2 linked regions of the Oryctolagus cuniculus genome follow. The protein of the gene in region 1 interacts with the protein of each later gene in a biochemical or structural test. Links are inferred from orthologs where the notes say so. Each region holds a gene or a part of one and is shown on either strand. Other genes may lie near its edges.

Region 1 (6,230 bases):
TGCTGTGCCAAACGCCTGCTCCACATTATTTTCAAATTGTAAAAACTGTAAATGCGGAACAGGTGTTGTGCTGCAGTGGGTTAAGCCGCTGCTTAGGATGCCCGCATCCCATACTGAGGTGCCTGGTGAGTCTGGCTACTCTGATTCCAACACAGTTTCCTGTGGATGTACATCCTCAGAGGTGGCAGATGATGGCTCAAGGACGTGAGTCCTTGCCACCCCGGCTGGAAGGCAAGATGGAATTCTGGGCTCCTGGCTCGGGTCTGGTCCTGTCCCAGCTGTTGTCAGCACTCTGGGAGTGGATCAGCCAACGGAAGAGCTAGCTGTTGCTCTACTTTTCAAGTAAATAAAATAACCATAAAAATTAAAAAATCGGAAACAATTTAAATGTCTCCCAATGTGTGACCAGTTAATATGGTACTTTTTTTTTTTTTTTGAAATATTTATTTATTGGGGCCGACGCTGTGGCTCACTTAGCTAATCTTCCACCTGTGGTGCAGGCATCCCATATGGGAGCTGGGTTCTAGTCCCGGTTTCTCCTCTTCCAGTCCAGTTCTCTGCTATGGCCCAGGAGGGCAGTGGAGGATGGCCTAAGTGCTTGGGCCCTGCACTGGCATGGGAGACCAGGAAGAAGCACCTGGCTCCTGGCTTCGGATTGGCACAGCGCCAGCCGTGGCGACCATTTGGGGGGTGAACCAATGGAAGGAAGACCCGCGCTGGCCCCCACATGTCTCTATTTCTTGCAACAAATGCATATTACTTTTCTAATATACAGTTATGGAGAAAAAAAATTTGTTAAAGATTTATCTATTTGAAAGGAAGAATTGGGTGGGGATAGGAGAGAGAGAGAAAATTTTCCATCTGCTGGTTCACTTCACTAATGGCTGCCGAGGACCGGTGCCGGTCCAGGCCTAAGCCGAAAGCCAAGGAGGTTCTTCCAGGTCTCCCACGCGGGTGGCAGGGGCCCAAGCACGTGGCGGTTGAAAACATTCTTAAAAACCTGCCCAGTGGTTATTTTGTACCTCTCTCAGATTTCTTAGCAAGAAAAGATCTGGGGCTGTACAATGTTCCTCTTCAGCTCGAAACTCAAAACACATCCACTCTGGACAGCTGGATAACGGTTCTTCACGGGGCCGCGGGGGCTCTGCCCTGAGGATACAACCCAGGCGGCTCCCCACTCCTGCACCGTGGGACTCAGCGGGCCCCAGTGTTTACCTTCTAATTTCAGGAGTTAGAATCGGTCTCTTTCAGATGTAAAGGAGGCAGCATTTGAATCACAAACCCTGCGGGTGAATGTGAGAATATGGGCATTTTCTCCCAGCAAAATATTCCTGGCTACCTCCCGCTAGTCTCCAGCTAGATCACGAACACTGCCTGGCCCAGGCTGGGCCGTGCACTACGTTATTCTGGTCCTGGTGGAGGGCTCAACAGACAAGGTGCTGAGCTAGCGCTCTGCTTTCAGCCCCTGAAAAACCACTTCCCACATTCCACGTTCGCCTGCTAGCAGGCGCAGGACGCTGGATTTAACTACGGGGCACCGCGTATTCGAGGTAACTGCACCAAGCACCTCCCCTAACGCTGACATGCCCTCTCCCGCCCGGGCCCTCGTGGCGAAGGGCAATCTCGGGGAGGATACCCCCGATCCCGGCGGGTGCCGACTGCCGCCACAAAGCTGCGGCCAAGTGGCCCGTGCAGACCCCAAGACTTCAGATAAGTCCGAGTCCGGCCGCTGAAGAGCTGTTTGACCTTGGACAAGTCCCTTCCGCCTTGCAGGGACTTTGCAACGTGCCAAGTGCCCGCTCGGGGGACTAACGCGGGAACGGGCTAGCGACCTACAAAGCCTCTGCTTTCACGTGCTTATCGAGCTTCAACTACACGCGCTGGGGGGTACGACACGCAAAGGATCCGAGGGGCGCCGCGCGGGAGCGACCAGAACCCGCGCCTCGCCTCTCGCGAGATCTCCCAGCGCTTCGCAGCGTCATCCCCTCGGCGGCCGCGGCGGCGACAGCGACGGCGCGTACGAGCCTCACAGGGGCGGCACGTATCCCTCCGCCGCCGGCGCGGCCCGGCCCTCCCTGCGCTGGCCCGCCAATCCCCGCGCCTCCCGGCCTGCCCCTCGGCCTGGGCCCACCCCGCGCTCGGCGGCCCCACCCCGGCGGCGCCGCCCGCCCGCCCGCGCGTCCCTCGGTCCACCTGCAGCCCGCAGGAAGGCCGGCAGTCCCTCCGGCTGTTCGACCGAGAGGCGCCCGCCGAGCCCGAGGCTTGGGCGCTTGCTCCCCGGCGGAGGGATCCGTGGCGGCTGAGGAGGCGGCGCTGAGCCTGGGAGGAAGAGGCAGCTACGGCGGCGGCGGCGGCGGCGGCGGCTGGGGCGGCAGCGCATAAAGGGGCCGCCGCCGGGTGATGCGGTGACCGCTGCGGCAGGCCCAGGCGCTGAGTGGGCCCCGGCCCTCAGCCTGTCCCGTCGGACCCGCGTCCCCCACCTCCCCGTCCTCTTCTGCCGACCCGCGATCCCGAGGCGGCCTCAGCCCCCCTCGTCCCTTCCCCGTCCCTCCCCTGCCCGGGGGGCCGCCGCCACCCGCCTCCCACCATGGCTCTGAAGAGAATCCACAAGGTAAGCCACCCGGGGTCGGCTGCGGGGCGCGGGGCGCCGGGCGCGGGCCGGCAGAGCAGCCTGCGGCCTGCACTTCCCGCCGTCGCCTCCGCCGGGCTTGCGGTCCCTGGATCCCGGTCGGCTGCGGGCGCCGGCCCCGCGGGGCGGCCTGCACACCCCACTCCCAGTGATGGCGCCCGTGGAGGCCCCGGCGCGCAGCCTGCGCTGAGGTCGGAGGTGCCCTCGCCCCCTCAGCGCGCCTCCCCGGCCGCTTTTCCCGGCCCGCGAGGTGTTGAGTCCCAGGGCCTCCGTCCAGCCTGGTACTGCTGAGTCGAGGGCCATTGTCCGGCCAGGCCGGGGTGGGGGGTGGGAAGGCTGGGCGTTGGGCTGTCCGGGCGCGCCCGGTCTCTGCCCACTCCGCACCCCGCCTGCCCCAGTTGCCTTCGCAGAAGCCCCGGAGCTCGGGGCCCCTATCTCGGGCCGCTGGAGGAAGCCTTTTTGCCCGGCCCTCAAGTAGTTCTTGAGTTCACTTACCTCTTGGGCGGCTGCATGCTTGGGTCCATCCTGCTTGTCCAGAAACAGAGAGCACAAAGTTCGGAAGGAAAAGCTGACCCTGATGAGGAAGGAGGGAAGTAAAAGCAGAAGGCGGTTTATTGCTTTGAGATTCCCATATGTAGTCGGCCACTGGCCCTTGAGTTTTGCGAATTGGTCTGCTAGATAAACGATTACCCTGCAAGGGTAGCAACCAGTCGTTTCAGAAATCTGACCATAGGCAACCACAGGAGAAATTTCAGAAAGATTGCTTTCCGCAGTCTCTTCGCAAAATGGGCTTTGAGGTTGAAATTAGGCGATACTTTTAGGAAATCCTTTTTAGGAGGAGTTTTACTAGGTTTTCTGTTAGAAAGGACTTTGCTCCTTAAAAGGAATGTTTATTAATTGCGTTATTTGGAAGGAGGTTTTCCTGATCCTTGGCTGGAACCATAGCCTTCACCCGATATTGGAAGCTGTCAATGCAGCTTACTATTGTTTTTGTTTTTTTCCTTAGAAGTGAGGAGGCACCACTGACATTTCTTTGGGTGTTCCACTTGGCTAGTCAGATTGGCTATATTAACCTGCAGCTGCTTAGGGAGAAGTAGGTGCTGGGATCCTGAGTCCTGAATGGTGGTGATGAGCATGCAAAAGGGAGAGAACCAGTTTTCGTCTTGCCTTAAACTAAGAATGCAGGTTGATGATTTAAACACCTCAGTTCAGGCATTGATCTTCATTGCATTTCATTAAAGATTGGAGACTTTTATTGTGAAATTATATTTTTTAAAATATTTATTTACTTGTTTGAAAGAGTTACACAGAGAGAAGGAGAGGCAGAGAGAGAGAGGTCTTCATCTGTTGGTTCGCTCCCCAAATGGCTGCAACGGCTGGAGCTGCGCCGATCTGAAGCCAAGAGCCAGGAGCTTCTTCCGGATCTCCCACATGGGTGCAGGGGCCCAAGGACTCAGGCCATCTTGTACTGTGTTCTCAGGTCATAGCAGAGAGCTGGATCGGAAGAGGAGCAGCCAGGACTCAAACCACGGCACCCATGTGGGATGCTGGCACTGCAGGCGGCGGCTTTACCTACTATGACACGATGCCAGCCCAACATTGTTTTCTATAAATTAGATTAGATCATTAGCGACATTTTTGAATTTAAAGCAAATGATAAAGAGCAGACTTTAGATAAAGTAAATCTTGTAATAGAATGAAGTGTTTGTTAAAAGAAACTTGAACTTAAAGTAAGGTCTTGGGAGTTAAAAGCAGGAGCACACTGAGGAATGTTCTCCCAAGTGAAATGTTTGTGAATAAGTATTTTAAGACTTCTAGAAGTTATTAGGTTCTAACAGAGTTTAGTGGGGAAGTTATCAACCTGAGTTGACACTTGGTTTTATTTCTGTAGAAGAATGCTCTTATTTTAAAACCTAAAGAGGATTGTGAGTACAGTGTATAGTACTTCACAGATCCAGAAATGTAGCATTTAATCTGTGCATTGATATATTGTGTTATGGATAACTGCTTTGGAGAAGAAAATAGCACTTTGATTCACAATACATATTTTAATCTAGTAATACTTGTACCCACTAATAAGATTTCTTTTGAGTTACTATCTATTTTCTAGAATTGTCTTTTTCTAAAATATACCCTTAAAAAATTTTTTTTTAGTAAAAACAAGTTTGAAAATGATAATTTGAACTTTCAAATCTCAGCATTAACCTCTTTTTCCCCCCCTGGTTTTTTTTTTATTATTTTTTATTTTTTTTTTAAAGATTTATTTATTTATTTGAAAGTCAGAGTTACACAGAGAGGAGAGGCAGAGAGAGAGGTCTTCCATCTGCTGGTTCACTCTCCAGTTGGCTGCAACGGCCAGAACTGTGCCGATCCGAAGCCAGGAGCCAGGAGCCCCTTCTGGGTCTCCCACGTGGGTGCAGGGGCCCAAGGAGTTGGGCCATCCTCTACTGCTTTCCCAGGCCACAGCAGAAAGCCGGATGGGAAGTGGAGCAGCCGGGTCTTGAACCGGCGCCCATATGGGACGCTAACACTTCAGGCCAGGGTGTCAACCCACTGCACCACAGTGCCAGCCCCTCCCCCCTGGTTTATAATCTAGAGCCATCTTCAAAGTTTGACACCTTCTGTGAGACTATCAAGAATTAGAGAAATGAGATTTATTTATGCTGTACCAGTCAAAAAGATTCTGAAAGCAAAGTGGACTTAATTGTTTTCAAACTTTTTGTATGATACTAATTTTAAGTTGATTGGCAGATACACCAGGTATAGGTAGAACCAGTCCTATCTTACCCTCAAGTCCTAGTAATGGAGCTACATTGGAATCCCCAGAAGACTTGCTTGGCTTATAAAATTACCTTGGTCAGTGGGCTTTCCTGATTATCTTTCTCTGAAGAATTTTACTTAAGTACCCTCTCAGCTTTAGATGTAATGAACTGCTACTTCTAGGCTCTAATAAAATTTTTCGAAGAAAAATCACATTTGCCATGTCAGTGTCTTTAGGAGAAAGGTGGAGTGAAAGGGAAGGACAGATCCTCCACTCGCTGGTTCACTCCCTTGTTTCTTGACGGAGGGAGTCTGCGTATGTCTGTGCATTTGGCAGTCTTAAATGCCATGCCTTTTTTTGGAAAAAGGTTTTGGTGGACTTCATTTTGATACATGTTTTAAAGTCATCTGACCTCTGTATTCAGCAGAGTATACCAAAGAGGGTGATACTGAACATACAATGCAGTCTGGGACAGGGGTTAGGATCCTCTGGGATGGTTTGTATCTTCACCAAATGGCCCTAGCCTGTTAGTTGTGAGGTTTTCTGCTGACTTTATAGTTCTTTAGCTTTGATTTTGATGTTCTGAGCGCCTGCCTCTAGCAGCACCACCCCCTTTTCCAGTTGGCTGCATCTCATCTGTTGTGGGCTAAGAAACCAGATCACGGAGCTTATTAAAATTGTGACTAAAATAAGATCCAGTAGGCTCTGTGAAAAGGGCTTCATGTGTTCTGTGAACTGTGTGGTCTCTTTGGCTGATCAGAGACTTTTTTGGCTTGTTTCCTGTTTTTTTTTTTTTTTTTTTTAACTTTTGTTATTCAGATGCAGGAGCTTCTCTTGTGT
Region 2 (5,506 bases), on another chromosome or scaffold:
AAGCCAAGATATCTCCCTCAGAGAAATTGTTCTTCAACAATTAAAAAAAAAAAGGATTATTAAAGGAAACCTTATCAGAATAAGCTATCAATATGGGATCTACAGAATTTTTCAGGAATTATACTAATACTTAAATTCTATACATCCACTGAAGATAACTGACCACATAAAACTGGTTGTTCCTCTTCCAGTCCAGCTCTCTACGGTGGCCTGGGAGTGCAGTGGAGGATGGTACAAGTGCTTGGGCCCTGTACCTGCATGGGAGACCAGGAGGAGGCACCTAGCTCTTGGCTTCGGATCGGCACAGCGCGCCAGCCATAGCGGCCATTTGGGGGGTGAACCAATGGAAGGAAGACCTTTCTCTCTGTCTCTCTTTCTCTCACTGTCTAACTGCCTGTCAAAAAAACAAAACAAAACAAACAAACAAACAAACAAAAAAAAAAACAAAAAAAAAACACCTCAGTATTGTCAGCTTACTGTATCTCTAGGTTTTGCATCCAGATTCAAGCATTTAAGCATTTATGGTTCAAAAATTCTCAAAAAAAAAAAAAAAGAAAGAAAGAAACTGTGTCTATTCTGAACACATACAGCCTTTCTTATCATTACTCCCTAAACAATACAGTGTAACAACTATTTACATTGTATTAGGTATTCTAATTAATTTAAAATGCATATTTATTTTTACTTCATTTGAAAGGTAGTGAGACAGAGAGACCTTCCACCTGCTGGTTCACTCCAAAATGTCTGCAAAGGCCAGGGTTGGACTAGGCTGAAGTCAAGAGCCTGGAGTTCAATCCAGGTCCCACAAGGGTGGCAGGGACCAAAGTACTTGAACCATTATTGCTGCTTCCCAGGGTGTACATCAGCAGGAAGCTGGATCACAAGCAGGGAAGCCAAGACTTGAACGAGGTACTCTGATATGGGATGCAGGTGCCCTAAAACACTGTGACAAATGCCTGGCCTGATTTAGAAATGACTTAAGGTTTATGACAGTGTATGTACAGATTACAGGCATATACTACACCCATAAAAGGCCCTTGAGCATCCATGGACGAGCTCCTAGAACCAATCCCCTAGATACTGAGGGATGATTACAGAAACAAAATTAAGTACATCCAAGTTGATCTAAATAAATCAATTTTTGCTGTAGATTATAAAGCATGCAAAATGGCATCACGATACTAATCTCTTTAGCTGATAAATTCTGATTTTTTTCTAAACAAAGTTTCATACGACTATAAATAACTATCTTAATCTATAGGGGAAAATTCAAAGACTTGTAGATATAACGAGGAGTAAAATTTAGTTTAACATGAAAATAATTTAAGTCTAGGCCTTAAGCGTGTAACAATAAATATTACAAATATTTGTGTTTTATCAGTCTCATAAGTTTTGTACTACCTTATTGGAAAATTCATATAATCTGTGATGGTGGGGGCTGGCACTGTGGCTTAGCAGGCAAAGTCACTGCCTGCAGTGCTGGCATCCCATATGGGCACCAGTTCAAGTCCCAGCTACTCCACTTCCAAACCAGCTTTCTGCTATGGCCTGGGAAAGCAGTAGAAGACGGCCCAAGTGCTTGGGCCCCTGCACCCACATGGGAGACCCAGAGGAAGCTCCTGGCTCTTGGCTTTGGATCAGCACAGCTCCAGTCGTTGCGGGCATCTGGGGGAGTGAACCAGTGGATGGAAGACTGCTCTTTCTCTTCCTCTGCCTCTCTGTAACTCTGTCTTTCAAATAAATAAATGAATAAATAAATCTTTAAAAAAAATTGTGATGTGAACACTTGGCTCTGGTCCAAACTTTCTCAAGTAAACCAAAGCTTATTATAAAATATTAATAAAAATATTCTATAATCCCATGTTATAGCTGGAAGATTTAGAAGCACAGACACTTTAAAGACAGGCACAGAGAACAGCAACCTGTCCTCTTCAACACATTTATTTTCTGTTCCATTTACTATTCCACTGCTCAATGTCTTTAATTTTATTTCCTGATTAAGCATCTTTCTAAGGTTATTCTACTCAAACATTTTTTAAAAGGCTAAAAGAGGGCCGGCGCCATGGCTCACTAGGCTAATCCTCCGCCTTTCGGCGCCGGCACACTGGGTTCTAGTCCCGGTCGGGGCGCCGGATTCTGTCCCGGTTGCCCCTCTTCCAGGCCAGCTCTCTGCTGTGGCCAGGGAGTGCAGTGGAGGATGGCCCAGGTGCTTGGGCCAGGCACCCCATGGGAGACCAGGAGAAGTACCTGCCTCCTGGCTTCGGATCAGCGCAGTGCGCCGGCCGCAGCGCGCCGGCTGCAGTGGCCATTGGAGGGTGAACCAGCGGCAAAAAGGAAGACCTTTCTCTCTGTCTCTCTCTCTCCCTGTCAACTCTGCCTATCAAAAATAAAAAAATAAATAAATAAAAATAAATTAAAAAAAATGGTGAAAAAGGCTATAAGAAAGAGGGCATACAATCCAAAACCTGAGAATATTTTTACAAACTATAAGCCTCTCAGAAAAGAAATAAAGAAAAAAAAAAAAAAGCTGGTTCTCAGTGTACTTCATTTTTGTTAAGTAAATATACATTTTTTAAAGATTTACTTTATTTATTTGAAAGACAGTTACAGAGAGAGGTAGAATGAGAGCAAGAAAGAGAGAAAGAGAAAGAAAAAGGTCTTCCATCCACTGGTTCACTCCCCAAATGGCCATGACAACAGAGCTGAGCCAATCTGAAGCCAGGAGCCAGGAGCTTCTTCCAGGTCTCCCATGTGGGTGCAGGGACCAAGTACTTGGCCCATCTTCTGCTTTCCCAGGCGCATTAGCAGGAAGCCAGATCGGAAGCAGAGCAAGGACGCCAGCACTGCAACCCTGGGATTTAACCTGCTGTACCACAACACTGGCCACACTAGCTATATATTTTTAGAGATATTTATTGTTTGAAAGCAAAGGAATTGTTCTCACAACCTCTTAAACCTGCATGTTTCATATCTCTGTAGGGACGATCCAAATTCCCTAAGTCCCACACCCCAGACACTTTAATTCAGTAGATTTGGAGTAGGTACAAGAGTATATATTTTCAAGGATCCTTTGGTAATTCTGCCAGGCTTTTTAAAGTCCTTGGTTCCCTTTGGCCTTAATATATGTGCTGGATCATCCTTTCTTTCATTCATTTTCTCATAGGCAGTAATTTAACTACAGCAAGATAATAAAATCCAGGAGACTGATGTAACAGAACAGGAATGGGAGTGACAAGGTAGAATGAGGAGAAAGGAAGTTTTCACTGAATAGTTTCCCTACATAATTTGAATTTATAATAACATTTAAAAAGCTTTTTTTAAAAAAAAACTGATTAGAGCAAATATGTAAAAGTATATAAAAAAGTATATGTTTTATCATCTTTCAATTCATTTTCTCATAGCAGTAATTTAACTACAGCAAGTTAATAATATCCAAGTTGAACACATTACTTAAGAATATGTACTCTACTTTCAAATAGTGATTTATATCAATACAATGGAATGATATTCTACTCTTAAAAAAAGAATTAGACTACATGTGAAAAGTCTCTGAACAAACACAAGGAGCAAAATAGTATGATTTAATCCTTTCTAAGTGAATAAGGGAAAAAGTTTTAAGAATCTGTTACCAATGGCTGCCTTTCAAACAGACTCATGTAATGGAACAGGAATGCGAGTGGAGAGGTGGAATGGGGAGAAAGGAAACTCATTTTTCACTGAACAGCTTTTCTATAAAATTTGAATTCAATAATAACATATTTAAAAAGCTTTTTAAGTTCTCTCTTAAAACTTACAATATCAATGCTTAGCCGTCTTGCCAGTTTCTCGTCGTTTTGCAGTTGTTCTTCCATCTCTCTTCGCCTTTTTTCTGCTTGTCTCTTTTCTTCTTCTTCCTCCTCAGCCAGTAATTTCTGTATGTATTCCTCACTGGCTTTGTTTTCTTCTTCCTCACTGGCTCGTCGCTCTGCTTCCACCTCAAAAAGCATTAATACAGAACAATATTTCCCTGAACTTTTAATTTTTTAATAGAAAATTTTTATTTAATAAATATGAATTTCAAAAGTACAACTTTTGGACTATGGCGGTTCTTCCCCCCATAAACACCCTCCCACCCGCAAACCATCCCACCTCCGACTCCCTCTCCCATCCCATTCTTCATTAAGATTCATTTTTTTTTAAAGGCAGAGTTAGACAGTGAGAGAGACAAAGGTTCACCCCCCAAATGGCCGCTACGGCCAGCGCTGTGCTGATCCGAAGCCAGGAGCCAGGTACTTCCTCCTGGTCTCCCATGCAGGTGCAGGGCTCAAGCACTTCGGCCATCCTCCACTGCCCTCCTGGGCCACAGCAGAGAGCTGGACTGGAAGAGGAGCAACCGGGACAGAATCCGGCGCCCCAACCAGGACTAGAACCTGAGTGCCAGCGCCGCAGGCGGAGGATTAGCCTAGTGAGCTACGGCGCCGGCCAAGATTCATTTTTAATTATCTTTATATACAACAGATCAACTCTATACTAAGTAAAGATTTCAACAGTTTACACCCACACAGACACACAAAGTATAAAATACTGCTTGAAGATTAGTTTTACCATTAATTCTCATAGTACAGTACATTAAGGACAGAGATCCTATATGGGGAGTTAAGTGCACAGTGACTTCTGTTGTTGATTTAACAACTGACACTCTTATTTATAATGTCAGTGATCACCCGAGGCTCTTGTCATGAGCTGTCAAGGCTATGGAAGTCTCTTGAGTTCACAATCTCTGATCTTATATACACAAGGCCACAGTCAAAGTGGAAGTTCTCTCCTCCCTTCAGAGAAAGGTACCTCCTTCTTTGATGGCCCTTTCTTTCCACTGAGATCTCACTCACAGAGATCTTTCACGTAGGTCATTTTTTGCCGCAGTGTCTTGGCTTTCCATGCCTGAGATACTCTCATGGGCTGTTTAGCCAGATCCGAATGCCTTAAGGGCTGATTCTGAGGCAAGGGTGCTGGTTAGGGCATTTGTCATTCTATGAGTCTGCTGTGTATCCTGCTTCCCATGTTGGATCTTTCCCTGCTTTTTAATTATATCAATTATTATTAGCAGACACTGGTCTTATTTATGTGATCCCTTTGACACTTAATCCTATCTTTATGATCAGTTATGAACTTAAAAGCTTTACCCTTAGGGGTAAGTCTGAGAGAGTGTGCGCCGAACTGTATATCTCCTCCCTCTCTTATTCCCACTCTTATTTTTAGCAGGAATCAAGGGCTGGCGCCGTGGCTCAATAGGCTAATCCTCCACCTAGCAGCGCCAGCACACCAGGTTCTAGTCCCGTTCGGGGCACCGGATTCTTTCCCGGTTGCCCCTCTTCCAGGCCAGCTCTCTGCTGTGGCCCAGAAAGGCAGTGGAGGATGGCCCAAGTGCTTGGGCCCTGCACCCCATGGGAGACCTGGAGAAGCACGTGGCTCCTGCCATCGGATCAGCGCGGTGCGTTGGCTGCGGCACACCGGCCGCGGCAGCCAC

The links.
Region 2: the proteins of UBE2D2 (region 1) and RNF168 form a complex in vitro, tested with the Homo sapiens proteins (3 studies listed by BioGRID). The link is inferred for Oryctolagus cuniculus from reciprocal best matches to the Homo sapiens genes UBE2D2 and RNF168.

Annotation. Positions count from the first base shown.
Region 1 is NC_091437.1:27,258,292-27,264,521, forward strand, and holds the start of UBE2D2 (ubiquitin-conjugating enzyme E2 D2), read left to right. Parts: upstream 1-2,120; 5' UTR 2,121-2,587; coding exon 2,588-2,611; intron 2,612-3,124; exon of another isoform or gene 3,125-3,643; intron 3,644-6,230.
Region 2 is NC_091435.1:83,001,958-83,007,463, forward strand, and holds part of RNF168 (E3 ubiquitin-protein ligase RNF168), read right to left. Parts: intron 3,975-5,506; coding exon 3,795-3,974; intron 32-3,794; coding exon 1-31. UniProt on the Homo sapiens protein: E3 ubiquitin-protein ligase required for accumulation of repair proteins to sites of DNA damage. Acts with UBE2N/UBC13 to amplify the RNF8-dependent histone ubiquitination.